3 linked regions of the Ovis aries genome follow. The protein of the gene in region 1 interacts with the protein of each later gene in a pairwise test. Links are inferred from orthologs where the notes say so. Each region holds a gene or a part of one and is shown in the gene's direction. Other genes may lie near its edges.

Region 1 (3,649 bases):
AGTAACCACAGATTTAATGAAACAACTGAAACTTGAATTTATTGTTTCTCTTCTTTTAACATATTACAATAGGATAATTACTATTTGGATTATTTTAATTGATTAAAGTATTTTTTTAGTTTAATAGCTTTAATCATATTACCTTAAGAATAAGTTGTTCTTATGAGAACTTTTGGCAGTTATCATTTTTCTCCTTCTAATAGGAAAAAAATCATTAACTTTATTTTTTCTGTTAGGTTTTGGAAAGCTCATAGATATGAACAGGATTGGACCAGGTTCTAAAAAGAGTTTCATTTTATTAATGTATTTAGTATTAATATGTAAAAGTAGATATTTATCATCTGAATTATTCTACTGTGTAACCTCTAAGTTAAATCCAGTGCTTGAATAGCCATAGAATAATGAGTGAGTGAAAGTCACTCAGTCATGTTTGAGTCTTTGTGACCCCATGGTCAGTAGCTTGCCAGACTCCTCTGTCCATGGAATTATCCAGGTAAGAATACTGGAGTGGGTAGCCATTTCCTCCAGGGGAATCTTCCCAACCCAGGGATCGAACCCAGGTCTCTCGCTTTGCAAGCAGATTCTTTACCGGCTGAGCCACCAGGGAAGCCCATAGAATAATGAGAGAATAATAAAAATATTAAGGGTAATTAAAATCCACATCATCTTTATACTTTTTAAAAATAATATTTACTGATTTCTGAAAGTTTAAAAGCCATCCGTAGAAACTTAAATGTCACCTCAACAGACTTGTTAACCCTCCTTCCCCACCAAATGACTGCACTGGCATTTGAAATATTATGAAATTTGGCCACTTATCCTCTTCCCTGCCCAGCTTTCTTCATAAGTGATGATAAACCTGTAAGGTCTGATTGTAAGCTGATAGCCAAAAGGAAAATAAAGAATTACTGAAGTCTGAGATAATGAGTCCCATGTGACATAGAATAAGAATAGCTAGAACACTAATCATGAGAACACTATACATTTTTAGAATATGAAGATTTTGTTGCTCTTATCAGTAAAATAAAACTATTATATAAAACTTTAATATAATACCTCTCAATCCAGTTGAATGTAATTATTAAAAGTGTAAGATGTAATAGTATCAGGTAGATGTAGGCATGGGTTCAAATGAAGTGCTTAGCACATTGCCTGGTACAGAATCACTTGTAATGGTGATGATGACAGTAATGAAAGTGAAAGTGAAGTCTCTTAGTCACGTCCAACTCTTTGCAACCCCATGGGCTGTAGCCTACCACGCTCCTCCATCCATGGGATTTTCCAGGCAAGAGTACTGGAGTGGGTTGCCATTTCCTTCTCCAGAGGATCATCCTGACCTAGGGATCGAACCCGAGTGTCCCACATTGTAGGCAGATGCTTTACCATCTGAGTCACCAGGGAATAACAGTAGTAATTAATAATAGTTTGCTGAAGAATGTTCATGTTACTCTCAAAACTGGGAAGTGAAGAAATTTAGTAAAATTTACCTAGACAAAGGTATAAAGTCATGTTTTTTCCTAAATTGCATGTATTTCTAAAAGCTTTACCTTTTGTCACTAAAGGGAGAAGGATGGTTCCTTCTGTTGGTTGTCATCAATGTTTCTTATTTTAACTCAAGTCTTTTCACAGTGTCCAGTCAGTTGTGCATGCTCAGTTAAGTGTTACATGTTTTGGTACTTGGGACAAGATCTGGACCTAAGGCATACCTTGAAAAAGTAGTGAATGGTTCTGTGTGTATTGAACCAAAGAATGAATGTCAGACGACTGCAGAAAGTGAAATAGATAGCATCTGAGTTTAGTACTTTCATCTGGTGGCCAAGCCCAAAGTGTTCTTCAAGGAACAGGGCTAAAAAGATTAGCCTACCAAGAACTAGAGATAAAATTAGAAACATATCAAGTACTACCAAGCTGGACACTGCACTCCAGTACATTTCTTACCTGAATTTACTTTGCTTTTCAGAATTCCCCACACTATAGTGATGTGGTTTTGTACTCTTTAACCTTTGAAAATGATATGATTTGGGTGCCTCTTCCTCATTGTATATTCTTGCCTTCTCTGTCATAGATTAATTAAACATATAAGGATGGGTTTATTTCTGGGTACTCTGTTCCATTGATCTACATGTCTGTTTTTGTACCAGTACCATATTGTTTGATGACTATAACTTTGTAGTATAGTTTGAAATCAGGGAGCATAATACCTCTGATTTTGTTCTTTCTTGAGCTTACTTTGGCTATTATGATCTTTTGTGTTTCCATACAGGTTTTAGAATTATTTGTCCAATTTGGATTGCTTTTATTTATTTTTCCTGTCTGATTGCTATGTCTAGAACTTCCAATACCATATTGAACAAAAGAACAATTACTTTTCTAATCTCTACATGTCGTATGGTTTTCAGGTTATATCCCCAAAATCTCAGCATAATGACGTTTTAGGTAGGAGTTGAAAATGATTCAACACTTTGGCAATGTACTTCTTACCGGGAATAGAACTAGATCCCCTGGAAGTACACAGAATCATAATTGATTATTTTGAACCAAAGTGTCTATATTCTGTATATATGTCTATTTGTACTTTGTATCCATCTTACACAAGTACTTTACTATACAGATTTAGAGTAAATAACTAATAGATACATGGAAAACTATATATGCAAATCCACAGTAGAAATACCTGATCTCCGTCTCTGTTCTCATACCCCCAAAATATAGAACTTCTCTATCCAAACAAATTTTAGGCTGTTGAGATTTGGAAATGGTTGTGGTTCTCAACTTGACTATATAGCCACCAACCAGAAATAATTGTGAGAGATCCTGTGTGTGCTCTGGTATCTGCTCTGCCCCAGAATGGGCAATCACTATATACTTACCTTTTATAAATGATAGAAGTGTTCATTAGTTGTTTTTACTTTAAACAAAGACCTGAGGTTCACAAGCTTTGAGTGCATTTTGTTTTGGATAATTTGGATTTTTTTCCTTGATTTTAGTTTCTTAAATATTATATATGTACTTTTTAATCTCTAGCAATAGTTTTTCTTAGTTATCCATATTGTATTACTCTTTGGTTAGTAAATGTCCAAAATGTTCTAGGTATTAAATTACATCATGCCTTTGTGGTATATATATTTGCTTTTAATTGTATGTTGTTTCTAAGTTGCTTAGCTATTTTTCTCCCTTGCTTTCTGCCTAACTTTAGAGTAACCAAATAAGGCAAATGGAAGAAGTAAAGATCTCAAAGAAGAGTAAAGTAGGAATTCTCCCATTTGTTGCTGAATTTGAAGAATTTGCTGGACTCGCAGAATCAATCTTTAAAAATGCCGAGCGTCGTGGAGATCTAGATAAAGCATATACTAAACTTATCAGAGGGGTATTTGTTAATGGTAAGCTTTTGTTACATTATGAAGAAGTTTTTGGTGGTGGTTTTCCTTATTTCTGGTATTTTTGGTCGGTTTTCATTATTTCTGATTAAGTTAGAAGTTGGGGTACAGATCTGTTCATTATTTTCCATAGTCTATAGTCTTTTTTAAGTTTTCTGAAAGTAAAGATTTCTTAAATTTGAAAAACAAACAGTACATAAAACCCACTTGTATTTACCAGGAACTACTTATGTTTTAGGGTTCATATGGGCTATCACTATGTAAAATTGAAA
Region 2 (3,649 bases), on another chromosome or scaffold:
GGCACTATTCTTTTCCTCGTTTTATAGACGAGGAAGCTGAAGCTTATACAAAAGTAGAAGTACATTGCCTTTGTAAACCTCTGTTAAGTCTTCAAATCACTTCCATGTGCATTTTTCCATGTATTGGTCACAAAATATATTTCCACATTTTGCTCTTTGGAAAGCTGATTGGGTAAGTTATTTTCTCTTTATAGAGACTAAAAGTTCATGTTCTAGTAGGGGGAATGGATAACCTAAACAGATTATTTAAAATGCAATAATAAGTGTTCTAAATTAATGGAGTTATTGTACAGCCGAAAAGGAAATAATGCTTACAACTACAATATGGCAGGTTCGATGATAGGGGTTGGCATAAAGCACTATGGAAACACAAAGGAAGTTACTCGAGGAAGCAAGTGATGTTTGAGTTGTGATTCAGTGTGTTTCATCAGGCAGGTGAGAGAGAAAGAGGGATTCCAGGTGGAGCGAACAGCAGGAGCAAGGGCAGGGAAGGGCATGTGAGTGCTTTCAGGGGTTTGCACCATCTGCTCAGGAATTGCTGGCTATTGTATATCATCCGTGACTTATTCTCACACCAGCTTATCTTCCCACCACTGTGAGTTCAGCTAACTGGGCTCTTCCACCCAGTTGCCAAGTGTGAGTCCCAGCAGCCTGTGTTTCCTTCTCTCCACCCCTCTCAGAGTGTGAGCCCATCGAGGCCATTGCCAAGTTTGACTACGTGGGCCGCACGGCCCGAGAGCTGTCCTTCAAGAAGGGGGCATCTTTGCTGCTTTACCAGCGGGCTTCTGACGACTGGTGGGAAGGCCGGCACAACGGCATCGACGGTCTCATCCCCCATCAGTACATCGTGGTCCAAGACACGTACGTAGGGTGCCCTGCACCCTTAGGGGCCCCTGGCCGCCCTGTGGGAGTGAGTCCTTACTTCTGAAGCCCAGGAGGATGAGGGAGGCCAGCCCCTATGGGCCCCAGCACAGTCTGCAAGTGCTGCTCTTCCTTGGGAAGGTGCCCAGAGTCAGAGAGGTGGAGAATTGTTTTCAGTCTCTCCACTCCACTCCTCCGCCAGCCACACCTCCACCTCCCCCAGCCCACGCTCATCCACATTTATACCTGATGAGTGATAATTAGGGCTAATTATCTGACCACTTACAGTTCCTTTCTGGAACGATCAGGTTGGGAAAACGTTTTGATTTATCTTTCCTATTTTAAAAACAATCGTGTTCACCCCAACCTGTTGGGTCACTGATGGCACTTGTCCACTTGTAAATGAAAATGTTGAGCCTATTTTCTAGTAGAAATGTAGCCTAAGCAGCTTTGTAGAAATAACCCAGTTCATTTAATGAGGTTGACGTGGGGAAAGACGGGGGAGAGGACGGGGAGGAACGCCGGGGAGCCGAGGGCCGTGGGCCGATCGCAGACAGACTTCCTTGCGTGGGCTGTCTGTGGAGTCCCGCTCTCTGAAGCCGTGTCTCCCCATCAGGAAGGCTTTTCCCCGTGGCCCCCCAGACCTGCCCCCTGCCCAGCGCCCCGCCTCTGCCCCCAACTCCCCTTGGCTGCGATGCTGTCAGTGTTTTTAGTCCTCCCCTTAATATTATTTTTTAAAGGTTGATATCCTGAATGAGTCTGCGCCCTCCCAAGCCTCTCCCCGGCTCGCTCTGCGGGGAAGTCCTCTCCCTGTTGATAACATCGCACACCTGGTGGCCATCTGTGCGCGGACAGGACCCTCCCAAATTTAGCATTATGACTTCACCGCAGGACCGAGAGAAGATGAATTGTGGGGGAGAAGGGGCTTTCTTTGTCATCAGTAGCCAGAGGGGCCGGGAGAGCAGTGGCGAGAAGTGGGACCGGCTTGGACGCTCTAAGCGGGGCTGGACGCGCTACGACAGAGTGTGGCGGGGTCCTGCCTCAACGCCGGCACCTCCAGAGCCGCGGCAGAGCTGACTGTCCCTCCCCAGCGCTGCTCGGGACCTGAGCACACAAACCGCAACCTGCAGGAGGTGGCCCCAGCACCGCGGCCCCAGGAGAGCAGCGAGGGGTAGAAGGCAGATGCCGCGAATCCAGGTGTCCCCTAGCCAAGCTTTCCGGAGGAGCTGAGGACCCCACAGGACTCGGCAGGATTATTTATTTGTATTTAAGCGACCCTCCAGAGGCCCGTAGCTCCCCTTGCCTCCGCTCCCCGAGCCCAGCCAGGCGTCGCTGCTGCCTCAGAGCCATTGCGGGGTCGCGTGTGTGTTGGGGGGGCCATCTTGCCGATTTAACACTGCTTTTTGTGTTGTTGTTGTTTTCCCCTCCTCCCTGCCTGCCTGCCCCTCCTGCCCCAGCGAGGACGGTGTCGTGGAGAGGTCCAGCCCCAAGTCTGAGATTGAGGTCATTTCTGAGCCACCTGAAGAAAAGGTGACGGCCAGAGCGGGGGCCAGCTGTCCCAGTGGGGGTCATGTAGCCGATATTTATCTTGCAAACATCAACAAGTAAGCTCTGCTTTTCATCTTCTGCTCCCCTGAATGACTTGCGACACCCAGCCTCACCCTCTGGCCTAACCGCCCCCTCCATGCCTGTGCTGTGCGTAGGGCCCCCGCTGCCCACCTGACCGCTTGCATGTGCCCGCGGCTGCTGCAGGGCAGACAGGGCCGAGGAGACGTCCGCAGACCCCGTCCGCAGGCCCAGCGTGCGGCCGTCACCCTGAGGACCGGGTGCACCCTACTGTCCCCGAAGCGGCTCAGACCTTCCTGGCCGTCTGACTGCTAAAACTCTGGCCAAAGCTGCAGTCACTTCACGCAGCTTAGTTTTGTGCCGTTTCTCAGAGGTGCCTTCTCGTTTTCAGTTTTGACTCAAATAATAGTCTGACGTCTTCCTTGGCCCTGTCTGTTCAAAAATCCAAAGTCTCATGTGTCTTCAGCCAGGTTCACGTTACCCCCCAGTGGTTTATTTTACCGTGTGCCTGTTTCTCCCTCATCCTGCGTTCACTCCCCTGGAGGAAAGGAGACCACTCCCCACCGCCCACGGAAAGCTCCGTCCTGGGATCTTCATTCACTGTCTAAGCCCAGCTCCCTTTCCTCATGCCCTTTCACACCAGAAGAAACAATTTGCCGTTTTCCCCTACCGCTTTAGCCAGTGTACGATCCTGCCCTCCTAGCCTTGTGCAGATGCCCACTTCCGTCCAGCAGGCTCGTAACTCTGGCCCCCGGCTTTCACTGTGGCTGTTAGCAACATCCTGGGGTTTTCACTCCACTCACGCCCGATCTGGCCATCTAGAGGGATTCCACGCCCGTGTGCTGCTGCCTCCCCTAGAGACATTCAGGTTATTGGAGAACTAATCTCATCTCAAGGGGCCAGACACCAAGTCCCAAAGCCTACAGACCTCTTTCCGCCAGACCCTGAAACCTGGCCCAGTGCCAGCAGGATGACAAGCCCCAGGGCGCTCCCGATGAATATGGATTGGAGATGATGTACAGCTTTTATTCCCCTCTGGCTTTGGAGGAATGAAATGATTTGCACATTGAAAACCTGTTAACCATAGCCTCTGGATACTGAAACTGGAAGGAGAATAAAAGATGCTTGTTGTTTTTAAACTGCACCAGGTCGCCCAGATCTCTTGGCTTTATTCCAACCAGACGGTAGCGGGGGAGTGTTTGGGGCACGTGGCTCTTTCACC
Region 3 (3,749 bases), on another chromosome or scaffold:
GAGACAGTGAGACTCCTTTGATGGGGAGGACCACGGTGCCAGAGTGTGTAGGGCGGAACCTTGCCCAAGGGGTAACCCCCCAACTTGGCTTCTGATAAAACCAACCATAAACAGGTTTCCCAAGGCTGGTTTTAATGACAAGCTCTCAGAAAGAAGCTCCTTTCCCAAGTAAGTCTGCCCTCCAAACTCAACAGAGCCCACAGGCCACAAGCCTTTGCGTAGAAAGAGCGTACACTCTGCGTTTTTGTAGTGAAAGAGATGTTAGCAACGGCCAGTGGCAATGTCCTTGCCTGCTTTGCTAGGGTCATCTGACCTTCTGCTCCCCTGACATCACAGTGGCCCTGACATTTCATAAAAGCGCAGACATGACCTTTATTTGGATTTTTTTGAGTTTGCGGGGCAAGTTCTGGCGCCCCATTCTGTTCAGGGTGGGCAGGAAACCTCCTCAGTCAGTAACCCCTTGGATGGAGTGTGTCCATTTACAGAGGTTAACACTCACATCTCCTGGAGAAGGCTGCAGGCACACACGCAACCACCCACAACCCTGATCAATGGATTTCCCATGCTTCCCAGCTATTCAGGTAGGGCCATCCCACAACTCTGAAGGCAGAGCTTCTTGGGTGTGGAGCTCTGCTCAGTGGGGACACAGCCTTTGGACAAGGAATCCACCCCTGGAGCTGGAGCCGGCGGCTCCCCTCTGGGTCATTGCGTGTCTGCTATGCGAGCGCGCGTTTCCGTTCCCTTTTCTGGGGATACATTTCTTCAGCTTCACCCAAGGGAACAGAAATGCTTGGAGTGTACACAGGGGTTTGAGTCTTGCAACTGGTCCAAGGTCACGGAGGACAAGCTTCTAAAGGGGACTTCAGATGGTGGAAATACCCCCCGACTTTCCTTCCACGTGCCTCCCTGGTGGCTCAGACCGTAAAGAATCCGCCCGCAAAGCAGGAGACCCGGTTTTCACCACTGGGTCAGGAAGATCCCCTGGAGGAGGGCAAGGCAACACACTCCAGTGTTCTTGCCTGGAGAATCTCCATGGACAGAGGGCCTGGGGGCTAAATCCATGGGGTCGCAAAGAGTCGGACACCACTGAGCGATTAACAATTTCCCTCCACGGAGTCACTTCGCCTTGGCAGAGGCGGGAGGGGGAAGAGCACCCGGACACCCGGCGGCCGACCTTGGGGAGCTGGCGATCTCTTCCGGCGGCTAAGTTAAAACTGGGGTGAGGGCTCCCCCATTTCACCACCTACGGGCTTGCTGGTGGGGAGGTTTTGTGACGGAGCGCGGTTCCCCGGGCGGCCGGGCCGAGCCGGGCGGCGCGGGGCGGGCCGGGGGCGGAGCGGCCGGCGCTGACGGCCGCGGCGGAGAGGGGGCGACCGCGCCCACTTCCTCCGGAGCCCGGGGACCCGCGGCCGCGAGCGGCGCCCAGCTCCCCCGCCCGGCCGTGGCCAGGAGGCTCCGGCGCGACCTGCGGCTGCCAGCCCAGCGCGTCCCTGGCCGCAGCCGGCATGGACGCGGCGCCGAGGCGGAACCGCCCGGAGGGGCCGGCGGAGCGCCCGCCGCCCGCCCGGGACTCGGAGGAGGAGGAGGAGGAGGAGGAAGCCGGGATGGAGCCCGGGCTGGCGGACGAGGAGGAGGTGGACCCCCGGATCCAGGTAGGAGGCGCGGGGGGCGCGCGGGGGCCCTGGCCTCCGCGCTCAGCCCGCCTCGGAGCTCCGGGTGCCTGCGCGCAGGGGAGCGGCCCGGGGAGGCCCGGGGCTGCGGGGGAGAGGCTCCGAGCGCCGAGTTTCGCCCGGTTCCTGGGGAGGCTGCGGTGCCCGCGCGGACGCGGCCCGACTCCATCGCCGGGACTCCCGCTTGGACCCGGGAGATTGCCCGCAGCGTGCCCTGCGCTTGGGGCGGACGTGCAACAAAGAGGAAAGGGGGCGGGGGCGCCTCGCCGGGTTCGGGGGTACCCGATCCGGCTCTGCGCGCCGCGGGCTCTGCGCAACCTCCGGACTCCCGGAGCCCGGCCGGCGGCATAGCGCGCGCCCCCGGGGCGGTGGGCGCCGGCCACCCACCTACAACTGGGGCGGCCGCCCTGCCCGGGGGTCGGAGCCCTCACCTGGCAGAGGGGACCGTCCGGAGCCACCCCCGCCCCCGCGCCGATTCATTGTTAGCAAACCGAAGGGTTTATTGTCACCCCCGGCGCAGCCCTCCGGCTGGCCTCAAACGGTTTAAAACCCAGCTTTTCCTCCTTGTGAGGTCGAGTGTGAACAGAAACCAGGGCCAACTGGTGCGCAAAGCTGACGCGCGAGAAGGCGAGAGGGTTGGCCTGCTTCCTGCGCCTCCATTTCTCCGGGAGATGATTAAAAAGCAATTTCCTAGCCGAGATCTCAAAGTGACAGCTTAACCTCTTCACCCTCTAAGCAAAAGAGCACAGCACACCCCTTTGTAAGACCCATGTTTCCACTCTTCCGTAAGTCACTTGTAACAAACCCTGCTTTTCAGCATGAACTGCGATTTCTGGAGACCTAATTGGTTTTTCAGTGTGCAGATCTATTAAAAAGCTCATTTAACTCAGCTGTTGTGTTTAACTGAATTGTTACGGCAGGTGAGCAAGATAAAAATCAGGGGGAAAAAGCTTCCTATTAGGAATTCTATTAAAATCAGTTTGGGCTACTACATTTTGTTTTCTTGGTAGGGGAATTCTGTTAACAAGATCCTTTGTTTGCAGAGCAAAAAGAGTTAACTTCATGCTGGGCGCTTTTTACAAAATGTTAGCTTGTAAATATTTAAAGGATCAGGATTAAAGCTAGTTTTAGTTGTTTTGTAAACAGCTAGGTAGTTTGAATAATTGGCAGTTGGAAAAGAAAATGCTTTCTACAGAAAAATGCTCAACTTTGGGTGAGTTAATGCCAGAATTCCACCCTTGGTTCGCATGATTTCAATACTTTAGGCTTGGCTTTGTTTTCTTTTATTATCTTTTCTGCAAAATTCCTGCTCTAAAGCAGAAAGCATTATTTTGATTTAGCCTCTAAACCGTTTATAACAGGTGGGTTTACCTGAAGGCACAAACCTGCAATAAATAATTGACCTTCTAAGAAAAGACAAATTCCTGGAACCTTAAGTCATTTTCAAAAAGGCCACTCTCAAGAAAAGGGTTTCAGAAATGCTGACATTCATTTGTTCTTCCAGCCAAGGCACAACTGTTTTCCTTGACAATTAATATGGACTGGTTCCTCTTCCTACAAACTGACCAGAGTAATTTTGCAGATTTTGGGGCTGAGTCACAGTGGAAACCAAAGACAAGCATCCCTGAAGTCTTTTTTTTCTGTCCCTTTTCTTCATCAGGGAGAACTGGAGAAACTCAATCAATCCACGGATGACATCAACAGGCGGGAGACTGAACTTGAGGTACAGAGAGCTGGGTCCTGAAGCGAAGGTGGCTCCTGTCCTGCTGACCCCAGGCTGGTTCATTCTGTTTTAATAGCTGCAGAGTGGTTGCTGGCGTTCCCTCCTTGAAGTTGAGCAATAGCAAGCTGCCCGACAGAATGAATTACACCACTGAGGCCAGCTTGTGGGTGGAACACACGAGGATCCAATTTCACGTGGTTTTTTCATCCTGGAAACTCGGAGGGGCCCAAACCAAGGGCTTTAGACACTCTTAAGCCCTAAAGTTAACGTGTCTGTTGAAAAGTTAGAAGGATTGAGGGGGGGAAATGAGCTCTGCCCTTTAATGGATAAGAATGAATGAGCTCACAAAATCTCTT

What was found.
Region 2: the proteins of EXOC1 (region 1) and SRGAP2 interact in a two-hybrid assay, tested with the Homo sapiens proteins (2 studies listed by BioGRID and IntAct). The link is inferred for Ovis aries from reciprocal best matches to the Homo sapiens genes EXOC1 and SRGAP2.
Region 3: the proteins of EXOC1 (region 1) and SH3BP5 interact in a two-hybrid assay, tested with the Homo sapiens proteins (2 studies listed by BioGRID and IntAct). The link is inferred for Ovis aries from reciprocal best matches to the Homo sapiens genes EXOC1 and SH3BP5.

Annotation. Positions count from the first base shown.
Region 1 is NC_056059.1:72,041,103-72,044,751, forward strand, and holds part of EXOC1 (exocyst complex component 1), read left to right. Parts: intron 1-3,196; coding exon 3,197-3,380; intron 3,381-3,649.
Region 2 is NC_056065.1:4,060,039-4,063,687, forward strand, and holds part of SRGAP2 (SLIT-ROBO Rho GTPase-activating protein 2), read left to right. Parts: intron 1-680; coding exon 681-861; intron 862-1,601; coding exon of another isoform or gene 1,602-1,614; exon of another isoform or gene 1,615-2,318; coding exon 2,319-2,465; exon of another isoform or gene 2,466-2,564; coding exon of another isoform or gene 2,565-2,742; exon of another isoform or gene 2,743-3,571; intron 3,572-3,649. UniProt on the Homo sapiens protein: Postsynaptic RAC1 GTPase activating protein (GAP) that plays a key role in neuronal morphogenesis and migration mainly during development of the cerebral cortex. Regulates excitatory and inhibitory synapse maturation and density in cortical pyramidal neurons.
Region 3 is NC_056054.1:273,378,043-273,381,791, reverse strand, and holds the start of SH3BP5 (SH3 domain-binding protein 5), read left to right. Parts: upstream 1-1,377; 5' UTR 1,378-1,505; coding exon 1,506-1,652; intron 1,653-3,330; coding exon 3,331-3,393; intron 3,394-3,749. UniProt on the Homo sapiens protein: Functions as a guanine nucleotide exchange factor (GEF) with specificity for RAB11A and RAB25. Inhibits the auto- and transphosphorylation activity of BTK. Plays a negative regulatory role in BTK-related cytoplasmic signaling in B-cells.